Linked DNA regions of Xenopus tropicalis. The protein of the gene in region 1 interacts with the protein of each later gene in a pairwise test. Links are inferred from orthologs where the notes say so. Each region holds a gene or a part of one and is shown on either strand. Other genes may lie near its edges.

Region 1 (4,101 bases):
AGTAAGGTAAGGAGCAGAGAGGCGCATATAGTAAGGTAAGGAGCAGAGAGGCGCATATAGTAAGGCAAGGAGCAGAGAGGCGCATATAGTAAGGTAAGGAGCAGAGAGGCGCATATAGTAAGGCAAGGAGCAGAGAGGCGCATATAGTAAGGCAAGGAGCAGAGAGGCGCATATAGTAAGGCAAGGAGCAGAGAGGCGCATATAGTAAGGTAAGGAGCAGAGAGGCGCATATAGTAAGGTAAGGAGCAGAGAGGGGCATATAGTAAGGTAAGGAGCAGAGAGGCGCATATAGTAAGGTAAGGAGCAGAGAGGGGCATATAGTAAGGCAAGGAGCAGAGAGGCGCATATAGTAAGGCAAGGAGCAGAGAGGCGCATATAGTAAGGTAAGGAGCAGAGAGGCGCATATAGTAAGGTAAGGAGCAGAGAGGGGCATATAGTAAGGTAAGGAGCAGAGAGGCGCATATAGTAAGGTAAGGAGAAATACTATTTGCTAAACCCCCAAAATAATTTTTAGTAAAGTCCCTCCCAGCACCCCCAGCATTACTACTGATACACATACCTCCACCATGATTATTCTATGAAGCCCTACAGGAGGCCCAGGAGCCATTTATGGCCCTAATGTGCAGCTGCGGCCTCCATGATGATGTTCTGGAACCCAGAACTATTGCTATTGTATCCGCACAACATCCCATAACCCCCAGGCCCCACATACAGCAGCGCTACAGTCAGTGGCTGGAGAAACCACAAGGCACACGGATCCGCACTACTCCCAGCGAGGGACATAATGCTGAATAGCCCGGGGCCACACCAGCCCCCCTGAAATCTTCCCTGTTGCCCAGCACTGCTTTACAGTACCCCCATATTATAACCCTTCATATTGGCACCCCGTGAGTATTACCTGCCCCATCAGCAATCCTTTATATTGTGTCCCATCCCAGAACCGCCATCCCAGTACCAACCAGCTACACTGTCCCCTGCCCCTACTGTACCGGCCCCCCTGCCCCTACCATCCCGCCCCTACCGACCCCCCTGCCCCTACCATACTGACCCTCTGGCCTTACCATATCGACCCCCTGCCCCTATGATACCGCCCACCCTGCCCCTACCATCCCGCCCCTACCATATCGACCCCCTGCCCCTACCATACCGACCCCCTGCCCCTACCATACCGACCCCCTGCCCCTACCATACCGACCCCCTGCCCCTACCATACCGACCCCCCTGCCCCTACCATACCGACCCCCCTGCCCCTACCATACCGACCCCCTCCCTGGCTCTACCATACTGCCCCATGATACCGAGCGCCTGGCCCTACCATACCAACCCCCTTGCCCTACCATACTGCCCCTATGATACTGACCCCATGATACCAACCCCCTGGCCCTACCATACTGCCCCCCGGCCCTACCATACTGCCCCTATGAAACCGCACCAGCCCTACCATACTGCACCCCCCGGCCCTACCATACTGCCCCTATGATACTGACGCCATGATACCAACCCCCTGGCCCCACCATAACGCCACCCTGGCACTACCATACCACCCCTATGATACCAGCCCCCCTGGCCCTACCATACCGCCCCCCCCCACTGGCCCCTACATACTATTGCCTGGCACGTCACTACTGTGAAATCATCTGCCATAACAGTATATTTCTCTCCATCACAGAGACCCTCACAAGTACCCCCCCCCATAGCAGCCCCCTTCATACAGTACTGGACAAAATACCCAATAAATAACCCATATACCAAAACATCATTGCACAAAGATAATACAGTTATGTGTGTTACTGCTAAATACACATTTGGTTTTTCCCTAAAAAAAAATCCTGGTGTCGCTGATCTTTTTGTGTATATATATATATATATATCACCCAGCACAGCGCCATACCCCCAGCCCCATGTATATCCCCCCCCCCGCCCAGTCTCCCACCCCCTGACCCATATAAATACCCCTGACACAAACCCTAATCCCCATAGGCAGTTGTTTGCCCCCCAGCAGCATATAATAAGGCCGGTACCCATCCCGGCGCTGCCTCCCCGTCACCATCATCATCCTCAGCATCAAAGCACTGCCCCCCCCCCCCTGCCTGATATCCCTCCATCAGTATTCCCCCAGCACCAACACTGCCAGCCGCCCCCCCCCTCCCACACACACACACACACATATATATATATAATAACCACACACATGAAATCATATACACATATATACATTATGTTTGTGCTTTCATGTGGCTATACACACACACACACAGCATCCCCCCCCCCAGTGTTCTTTCCCTGACACCCCCAGTATTACCCACAATGCCTGCACCTAACACACACACACACACACACACACACACACACAATAACCTTCCCCACACACAGCAGAATCCGCTCCAATCCCGGCATCCTCTCTGCCCCGGAGGTTACGGACCCCCATTATCCCGGCATGCCTCTAGCCACCAACATACCATGGGGTACAGAACTGCCCCCCCCCCCCAATTATATATAGTTGCCCCCTCCCCCCACACATCACAATCCTACCCCAGGGCTATGTTATTATGGGGCAGATACAGTAACTCCCCCCCACCCCCCTGCACCTGCCCCCCCTCTCTCCCCGCCCCCAGTTCTCCCGGGGCCCTGCTGCCCGTCTCGGCCCTACACCCCCCAAACTGACTCCCCGGCCCCCAGGCCGTGTCCCTTGCAGCCCCCCGTACTCACCGGGCCGTTCCACTCTGGCTATGCCGTTCCGTAGCGCAGGATGTCCGTGAGTCAGGCTGCACAGTCCGTCTCCTCTCTCCGGGCATTCAGAGATGCGGGGGCGGGGCTACGGCAATGGGGAGGCGGGAAGTGGCCTGTCACTGTGACATCACCTCCGCCATAACCTGGGTGGGCGGTACATTCTCTTCCGTCACTCACTGCCTGGGAGATGGGCGGGGCCGCCTTCCCTCACTCACTGCCTGGGAGATGGGCGGGGCCGCCTTCCCTCACTCACTGCCTGGGAGATGGGCGGGGCCGCCTTCCCTCACTCACTGCCTGGGAGATGGGCGGGGCTGGCTCTGACCCTATATAGGGCTCTGACTGGGCCGCCTTCCCTCACTCACTGCCTGGGAGATGGAGGGCAGTGACACTATATAGTCTGGTTTCTAGGGTAATTTGGACTGTAGCAACCATACAGCTGCATAAATTGCAAACTGGGGAGTCCCTGAATAAAAAGCTAAATAGTTAAAAAACCACAAATAATAAAAAAATGAAGACCAAGTGCTAATTGTTTCAGAATCGCCTTCCTTACTACGTACTAATAGTTAATTTAAAGGTGAACAAAACCTTTTAGGATTAACAAAGCTTTGAAAATGGCGTATTTCTCCTTTAATTCATGTCCTTATTCTATTTCAGTCAGCTTCCCCTCGATCCAATGCGAATACTGGGCCTCCCCACGTTCCCCCGGATTTGTGACTGTACGAGATTCATTTGTGCAGATGAACGTTCCATATAGAGGAGTGAGAATGGTTACATGGCGGCGGCGCGTGAGCTGTAGGGTTCCCCGCTGAGAGGTGAGGTGGATTTATTCCTGTGTAGCTGAGAGGTGAGGTGGACTTATGTATGTATGTATATAGTAACATAGTAACATAGTAAGTTGGGTTGAAAAAAGAAATACGTCCATCAAGTTCAACCATAATGCCTATACCTAACCTGCCTAACTACTAGTTGATCCAGAGGAAGGCAAAAAACCCCATCTGAAGCCTCTCTAATTTGCCGCAGAGGGGAAAAAATTCCTTCCTGACTCCAAGATGGCAATCGGACCAGTCCCTGGATCAACTAGTACTGAGAGCTATCTCCCATAACCCTTTATTTATAATTGCTACTTATGTACGCAGCGCTGTACAGTAGAATACATTAATACAAACAGGGGGTTAATAAGATAATAGATAAATACAAAGTATAATAATAAATACAGATAAATACATCAGCAATAAGTTAAGAGTCGAGGACACAAGAGGATGGAGGTCCCTGCCCCGTAGAGCTTACAATCTATATGGGAGGGTAACTTACAGACACAAGTAGGCAAATATAAGTGCTGTAGGTCACAGTGGGTGACACTACAATATAAGT
Region 2 (4,224 bases), on another chromosome or scaffold:
ATGTGTTAAGTTTGCTGCAAGCATTTATTAATTGGGAGCACATTGTGGCTACAATTTCCATAGTGGGAAGTATCACTTTTGCCACTCAGCATTAAGCTAGCATTAGTGTTTGGATCTTGGCACACAAGTTTGTTGCTTCTATTGATGCAGCCCACTGTGGGAACCCATGGATCACCGCCGCTTTCAGGGTGCCAACAGTGCTAGGGTTACCTTGCACTCACGCATGATTTTTATAACTAAGGAACAGGGCTCAGTTCAATAGTGCATTACTGTAAGGCATGTGTTTAGATGCAAGTATCTTTAATGAATAGGGTCAGTACGAGCACAGCCTTATAAATGATCATAAATGAGCCCTTATTTCCCTTAAAGCAGGAGCCATGTTAAATCAAAAGAAAATGCAAGCAAAAATACATGTAGGCATTATGCGGCATTTGTTTGGAGCAACATCTGTACTAGATATAAGATAGTTTTCTTGGTTTGAATACCTCCCACAACTCTGGCAAATACTTTAAACACCCAGTTATTAAATAGCTATCCTTATATAGTTTCTTATGATATCCTACATTTTTAAAAGATAAGTAAAACTTAAAAATAAGTTAATGTAAAACTGATGTGAATGCTATTCCAAGCACTCTTGCATTTCACGTTATTTTTTATTTTTTTTGAGATTCAAAGATATTAAGGGGATTGTGTACTGTAAAATATGAATTAATTTTGTTACAACAGCACCACCTGCTGGTCTGTTTCTGACTAATAAATATTTAGAAAGCTCTAGATAACCATCTTTCCTAACCAGAAGAACATTTCTTTCACCTATTTCCTTGACTAGATCATGGTAGAAAACAAACCAGCAGATGGCACTGTAGTAACGAAATGTGATTTGTATAGATAAGCAAGGCGATCACAAGAGCTCCTGTGTTAAATAAGTGTATTAGAAAGAGGGAGTCCTCCTCGCAAGCACTATTTTACACCAAAGTGACATCATTAAATTAAAAAGTTAGCGTTGCTGAACTAAAAGTACGACATCACTGACGCTAAACAGCCGCGCAAGGCCAGTCAGTGCTGAATGGTCACTACACTAATAAAGGGTTATACACGTCCTTATCATTTCCTGCCTGGTACTGTTACAGTGCGGGATTGCTTTTGCGTTCAGCCTCAACCCCTAATTACTTTTCGTATACTCCCTCCCTAACAGTATCACAAGAACATTAAACAGCCCAAAATAGAGAGAATCTCTCCACTGCTCTTTAAACGTCGGTCGACGCTTTTCTCCGCCCTGCGCAAGGACGCACGTATGTTACGTTGAAGTGCCCGCGCTTGGAGGCGTGGTTAGTAGGCAGGCGGGCGGGGCTGGAAGAGATCTAACAGTAGTGAATAGCCGACACGGAGCTGAGAGACAATGGTGAGTGTACTGTAAGGTGTAGAGAGAAAGGCAGGATACCGAAGCAGGGCTTAGAGTAGCGGCCATTTCATTTTGCTGAGCCACTTACGTTATTGTTAACGATATTGCTGCTGGAGTAATTAATACTTGTCATAAAGATAAACTTTAGGAAGTGCAACTTAAAGGGATACTGTCACCATTTTATGGTGTACCTTTTATGTCTAAATTACACTGTTTACATAGCAACAAATTCACATTTTACTCTTGAAGCAACACATGTATTTTTTAGCTGTGTAGGCAGCCATATCAGTGCATTGTGCCTGAGTCTGAGCTTTCAGAAGGAGCCAGCGCAACATGTTTGAACTGCTTTCAGGTAACCTATTGTTTCTCCAATGTAACTAGAGGAGTCCCAAGCCGGACTTGGATTTCTTACTATTGAGTGCCATTCTGATATCTACTGGGAGCTGCTATCTTGCTCCCTTCCCATTGTTCTGCTGATCGGCTGCTGGGAGGAGGGTGATATCACTTCAACTTTCAGCTCAGTAGTAAAGTGTGACTGAAGTTTATCAGAGCACAGGTCGCATGGCTGTGGCACCCTGGGAAATGAGGAATATGGCTAGCCCTACGTGAAATTTCAAAATTAAATATAAAAAAAATCTTTGTGTTTTTGAAAAACAGATTTCAGTGCAGGATTATATCGGAGAATCTCTAAACACTGATGTGTTTTGAAAAACAACATGTTTTCCAATGACCGTATTCCCTTAAAGGAGACATTTTGGATAAATGGGATAAACCCTAGTTTTGTAGGCAATTATGAATAATATACGGTGCTGGTTTCCCTTTGGGCTAAACATTAACCCTATCTGTAACAATGGCCCCCTGTAATTGGAGCTCCCTATAGATTGCATCACTTCTCCCTCCAGTGTGAAATGAAGAGTGGGCGTGTCCTAACAGTCCCTGCCAGAAGCACAGTAGGAGGGGAGAGCCAATCACAGCCCTGCAGTCACACAAGCACAGACAGGCTTCAGTTCCCTATCAGGTCAGCCTAGCTGCTGATTGGTTCCTATCCTACAGTGCAGGGTACGGCGGGCCGCCGGCTCCCCAGCTCATCCAGAGAATTCAGCCAGCAGGAAGTGGCACAGATGGGCGGGACTAGTGGGGTTTTTGTGGAATTTCTCAATAAATCAGTCAGAAACACAACTTTTTAAGCACAATCCTTCTATATCTAGAGGAGTATAATTCACTGGTACATTCATAATTTTTATAGGATATGTCTCCTTTAAAGTAGCTTGTCAATTCAAAAAAGAAAAGCAATTTTCTAATATTTTAATTTGGTTGAAGTTATTAGTAAACATAACTTTTACTGATAGCAGTGTATCTGCAGTAATATAGCAGAAGCCAGCTGATTAATCCCTCTCAGGAGGCACAACCTTTGTTAATTGAGGTCAACTATATTAAGAATATTAGCCCTGAATTTCTCCCTTATTTACTGTCATGTGAAAAAGTAGTACACCCTATGTAAAGTTTTTTTTTTTTTTTTTTTTAACATATGGGAATGTCAATATTTGATATTCTTTCACATAGTATATACAGATAGATACAAAACACAAAAACAAAGAAAATGGAGTTTCCAATCATTCATTAAATTAAATTTATCTGAAATAAGTAAGTACACCATTGGCTGTAATACTTGGGATTGCCCCTTTTGGCAGAAACAACCTCAAGTAGGAGTTTCTTATAATTGCTTGTAACATAAATCAGCAGAAATGGTCTTCTACTCCTCCATTAATCATTTTTTCAGTTGCCCAATCATGATTTTATTGCATGCACATCATTTTTCAAAAGCCCCGTAAACTGAGGTATTTAGATCTGGGCTTTGACTTGGCCATTCCGCAATGCTCCATTTCCTTTTCAGCTATTCCTTGGTGAGTTTACTGGTATAATTAGGGTCATTTTCATGTTGTAAGGTCCACTTTCAAGTGAGCTTTAATCTTCTGACACTTGGTCTTATATTATCCAGAAGCACACTTCAGTACAATGAAGGACTCATAGTGGATTCTGTGATGATGAGTTGGCTAGACCTTTATTCAGTAAAGCAGCCCCAAGAAGTCCTGAACTTTGCCTAGGTGTTCATGAGCAAACTTTAGTCTTTCCGTGATGTTTCTTCTTGGCACACCCTTAATGTAGATGTAATTTGTTTAATGTTAGACTTTTTGACTTTGACATCAAATCAAAGGTTTAAATAATTCATCAGAGATCCTCTTTAACAATGTTTTCATCGTTTGTACCTGCACTGGTGCCTGATTCTAATTGTAGTTATCTGAGCTAGCAATAAATGTAGGATTGTACTTGTTACACATGTGCAATTTGCTTATTTAACTTACACAGTGGAATAAAAAATATGAATGGTATGCAAAATGTGTAAATATATAATGAATTTCAAATATCTATATGTGAAATGTGTTGAATGTCAGATATTGCTAAGGGGTTTACATTTTTTCATGGTTGTGCCTCCAACCTAGACTTTAAGGTGCATCTAACTTGGCAAACAGGCTTGCTGTTTACGTTTTTCCACACATACACTCGTCAATTTGCTATCTTACCATGGGCCCATGTCTCATACACATGCATGCCCACCTAACTATTGTTGGGGAACTACAGAAAGAGGAGCTGTTGCTCCGGTAAACTTAATTTGCGATATGTTACACACTTTCCATCATGGGGCAATATCAAATTAAATTTTCAAATGTCTGTGCATCTGTGATCCTGTAAAATTGCAGTATGATTTGTCAAAAGAGCTCTCCAACTTGGCATACTACTTGTACAGATGCTTGGACAGCATG
Region 3 (4,340 bases), on another chromosome or scaffold:
AAAGCAAAAGAGAAAGGATTGCATTATTAAAGAAAAAGGAACCAACAACCTGCAACTTGCAGTATCTACATTACAATCCCGAGCATGTATGGATAGCCTGGAGGTCTTTTAGTATCACAAACTATATATTAAAAAAAAAAAAACTGCTAAACCTCAAGGGAAAAGCTGTGAAAGTTACAACACTTCCTATTCGGAAAGGGGGAGGGTGAAACCTGTTGAAGAGGTAAATTCCCTGTTAAATTAAATTACCATGGCATATAGCAATGAAAGCATACATATTAGGAATTAGTTTTTATCCATAAGGAGACATCTAGGCTTGTTGAAATGGCAAATCAAGTTAGTTGCTAGTAATATTTAGAGTGAAGACACACAGAGCTACTAGTAGCAGCTACTTGTCACGGCTACTAAAATAGACAATGCTGATCATTTACTGATAATTGTCTCTATGTGTGTTTTAGCAGAGGCAATTCTCAGTATTGTCTATGGCAGGGGATTTTCTGGAGTTTAATAGCCATGAGAAAGTAGCTGCTACTAGTAGCTTAGTGTGTCTTCACCCTTATACAGGACCCAAACAGTTCTGTTTAACCTGTCCAAACTGAGGCTGAGATTCATGTTGAGACCAGACAGAATGGTCACTTATCTACCAGCTAACTGTACTGCCCAGACTTCAATCTACCTAGAAGGAAGTATTCAAGGGATTCCAGGGCACCTGAAAATAATGCCCTGGGGGTGCAGGACATTGCACGGGCACAGACTGGATGTCTAACATGACAGAATATTAATATGAAGTTATGTATTGTGCTTCCTATAGTGCCCCAGGGAACTAGGGAAGGTGCCAGTTTGTGGCCATAGGATACAGTGCATTAGCTTGATGGAGGCAGCTCCCAGTGCGGGCAGCCATGTTGTTTCCCACGTATGCGATTCACCCTCCTATGTCACAAGCATGCGCATAATGAGCGAGTTGTGGCAGGTACTTGGGGAGCTCGCTCCTGGTGAGGGCAGTCTAGTGCTGCCGGGGGCTTAAAAAAAAAAAAAAAAAAAAAAAAAAAAAAACTACTGTTTCCCCTAAACTGAGTAAAGATGGCCATACGCTGGCTGATTTCAGCTGCCAATATATCAGTCCTTTAGATCCAATGTGCCTGTGTATGGGCACCAACAATCTCCCTGTTTATCTGCCTGTGTATGGGCACCAACAATCTCCCTGTTTATCTGCCTGTGTATGGGCACCAACAATCTCCCTGTTTATCTGACTGTGTATGGGCACCAACAATCTCCCTGTTTATCTGCCTGTGTATGGGCACCAACAATCTCCCTGTTTATCTGACTGTGTATGGGCACCAACAATCTCCCTGTTTATCTGACTGTGTATGGGCACCAACAATCTCCCTGTTTATCTGCCTGTGTATGGGCACCAACAATCTCCCTGTTTATCTGCCTGTGTATGGGCGCTAACAATCTCCCTGTTTAGCTGCCTGTGTATGGGCGCTAACAATCTCCCTGTTTATCTGCCTGTGTATGGGCGCCAACAATCTCCCTGTTTATCTGCCTGTGTATGGGCGCCAACAATCTCCCTGTTTATCTGCCTGTGTATGGGCGCCAACAATCTACCTGTTTATCTGCCTGTGTATGGGCGCCAACAATCTCCCTGTTTATCTGCCTGTGTATGGGCACCGACAATCTCCCTGTTTATCTGCCCGTGTATGGGCGCTAACAATCTCCCTGTTTATCTGCCTGTGTATGGGCGCTAACAATCTCCCTTTTTATCTGCCTGTGTATGGGCACCAACAATCTCCCTGTTTATCTGCCTGTGTATGGGCACCAACAATCTCCCTGTTTATCTGCCTGTGTATGGGCGCCAACAATCTCCCTGTTTATCTGCCTGTGTATGGGCACCAGATCTTGATCGGGCAGGTTTGATTCTTCTGTCGGACCGGGGACCTCATTGATGCAGTCACTGCACTAACGGTGCCTATGCCCACTGTTTTAATTTGATAATTTGGCCCTAGGGTGGGCATATCGGGAGGAGATCCACTCTATGGGCGCCCTCGCCAAGCAAGCGTTTCTTACAGTGTAAGGCCACCTTTAGGCCACACTACTGATGGGGAAACAATTAGAAACTGAATGTAGTGCCTTTTTCTCTAGTCCTGACTGCACTATTAATCCCCTGGTTTCTGCTACATTGCTTCAGGAGTCAGTACCAGCAGAGCACATAGAATTTTCATTTGCCTATGTGGCAAAACCCAGTGGAAGTCAGTGACTATTGGGACGTTGCTGAGTAATTCTTCTGCAATAAATCCTGTTTGTGGGCGGTGTTCCCCTTTAAACGTGTGGCCCTGCAGCTGTCAAACATGTCTGATTGCCCGGCATTAGTAAGGGAGAGCCCAGGCAGCCCTCTGCAGCCGCCCAGCCCGGGGGAACAGCAGTGCAGGCAGGGCCGAGTCTTGTCACTGGCGGATTGGGAGCTGTAACACCTAGTGCTTCCCTCCCAGGCCTCCGGGGGCAGCTGATTCCGCGCTACCGGCACAAGCAGGAACCCGGGGCTCCTGACAGGGCAGAGCCGTGCGGAGAGGTGCGAAGGCCCCGCAGCAGCGCTACCCGGGCCAAGGCACCGCCCCACAGTACAGCAGGAACCCCAGAGAAGCCAGTTCCTGGCCGGCGGTGCAACCTGCCCTCAGCAAGCCCTCCCCCCGCTTCCCTGTCCCGCAGCGCCCCGTCACCCAGCTCACCCGAGACCGTGGTGGCCGCCATCTTGCCTTCGCAGTGCTCCTGAGCCGGCCTCCCAGTGACGCCACACAGGGCGGGGAGCTTCAGCCGGCTGTCAGGCAGGGAGTGGGCGGGGAGAAAGGGCTGACTCACACGCACCATAGAGACGGGAAGAGGCGGCGTCAATACGTCATTACGTGCTGCGTCTTGCGTCATAAACGAGACTGACATGCTTCATAAGGGAAATGTATGAATAGGAAAAGTGTAAATGTGTCAAAAATGAGATAGATATAAAAAAAATAAACTAAATGGGCAAATATATGGCCCAGGTATGTACCTATAGCTAGCTTCTGGGAGCAAAATGTTTTTTTAATCTCTAGGCCTTGTCTTCTTATATTGTATAAATATGTTTGTATTTTACACATTACAGTATGATGGTACAGCTTATTGTGTGATTCTAAATATGTCCAACAACTCACTGCAGAGAAAGAGAGGCTCAGGTGCACTGCCCAAGCCTTTAGCTAAGGGAGTGGATATCATGTTTTTTTTGAAAAAAACTCACTGAGCATATCGTGAGGCAGAATTCTTGATTAAAAAGTAACTTCATTGGAGCTGCCATATTGTTTCCTTTAGTACAGTACAGTATGAGGGTACAGCTTATTGTGTGCCCAGAACATTCCTTCTCTGTATATTTGTATTTATACATATGGGAGGGAGGTGCCATAATGTTTCCCTTAGACAGTACAGTATGGGGGTACAGCTTATTGTGTGCCCAGAACATTCCTTCTCTGTATATTTGTATTTATACATATGGGAGGGAGGTGCCATATTGTTTCCCTTAGACAGTACAGTATGAGCGTACAGCTTATTGTGTGCCCAGAACATTCCTTCTCTGTATATTTGTATTTATACATATGGGAGGGAGGTGCCATATTGTTTCCCTTAGACAGTACAGTATGAGGGTACAGCTTATTGTGTGCCCAGAACATTCCTTCTCTGTATATTTGTATTTATACATATGGGAGGGAGGTGCCATATTGTTTCCCTTAGACAGTACAGTATGAGGGTAGAGCTTATTGTGTGCCCAGAACATTCCTTCTCTGTATATTTGTATTTATTCATATGGGAGGGAGGTGCCATATTGTTTCCCTTAGACAGTACAGTATGAGGGTACAGCTTATTGTGTGCCCAGAACATTCCTTCCCTGTATATTTGTATTTATACATATGGGAGGGAGGTGCCATATTGTTTCCCTTAGACAGTACAGTATGAGCGTACAGCTTATTGTGTGCCCAGAACATTCCTTCTCTGTATATTTGTATTTATACATATGGGAGGGAGGTGCCATATTGTTTCCCTTAGACAGTACAGTATGAGGGTACAGCTTATTGTGTGCCCAGAACATTCCTTCTCTGTATATTTGTATTTATACATATGGGAGGGAGGTGCCATATTGTTTCCCTTAGACAGTGCAGTATGGGGGTACAGCTTATTGTGTGCCCAGAACATTCCTTCTCTGTATATTTGTATTTATACATATGGGAGGGAGGTGCCATATTGTTTCCCTTAGACAGTGCAGTATGGGGGTACAGCTTATTGTGTGCCCAGAGCACAATATTTTATATTAAGATTTGTCG

Evidence for each region.
Region 2: the proteins of fam168a (region 1) and otub2 interact in binary tests that used the Homo sapiens proteins (3 or more experiments, as listed by UniProt). The two-hybrid records come from large-scale screens. The link is inferred for Xenopus tropicalis from reciprocal best matches to the Homo sapiens genes FAM168A and OTUB2.
Region 3: the proteins of fam168a (region 1) and ube2v1 interact in binary tests that used the Homo sapiens proteins (3 or more experiments, as listed by UniProt). The two-hybrid records come from large-scale screens. The link is inferred for Xenopus tropicalis from reciprocal best matches to the Homo sapiens genes FAM168A and UBE2V1.

Annotation. Positions count from the first base shown.
Region 1 is NC_030678.2:173,972,330-173,976,430, forward strand, and holds the start of fam168a (protein FAM168A), read right to left. Parts: upstream 2,874-4,101; 5' UTR 2,710-2,873; intron 1-2,709.
Region 2 is NC_030684.2:88,154,233-88,158,456, forward strand, and holds the start of otub2 (ubiquitin thioesterase OTUB2), read left to right. Parts: upstream 1-1,378; 5' UTR 1,379-1,399; coding exon 1,400-1,402; intron 1,403-4,224. UniProt on the Homo sapiens protein: Hydrolase that can remove conjugated ubiquitin from proteins in vitro and may therefore play an important regulatory role at the level of protein turnover by preventing degradation.
Region 3 is NC_030686.2:36,460,883-36,465,222, forward strand, and holds the start of ube2v1 (ubiquitin-conjugating enzyme E2 variant 1), read right to left. Parts: upstream 2,847-4,340; 5' UTR 2,749-2,846; coding exon 2,727-2,748; intron 1-2,726. UniProt on the Homo sapiens protein: Has no ubiquitin ligase activity on its own. The UBE2V1-UBE2N heterodimer catalyzes the synthesis of non-canonical poly-ubiquitin chains that are linked through Lys-63.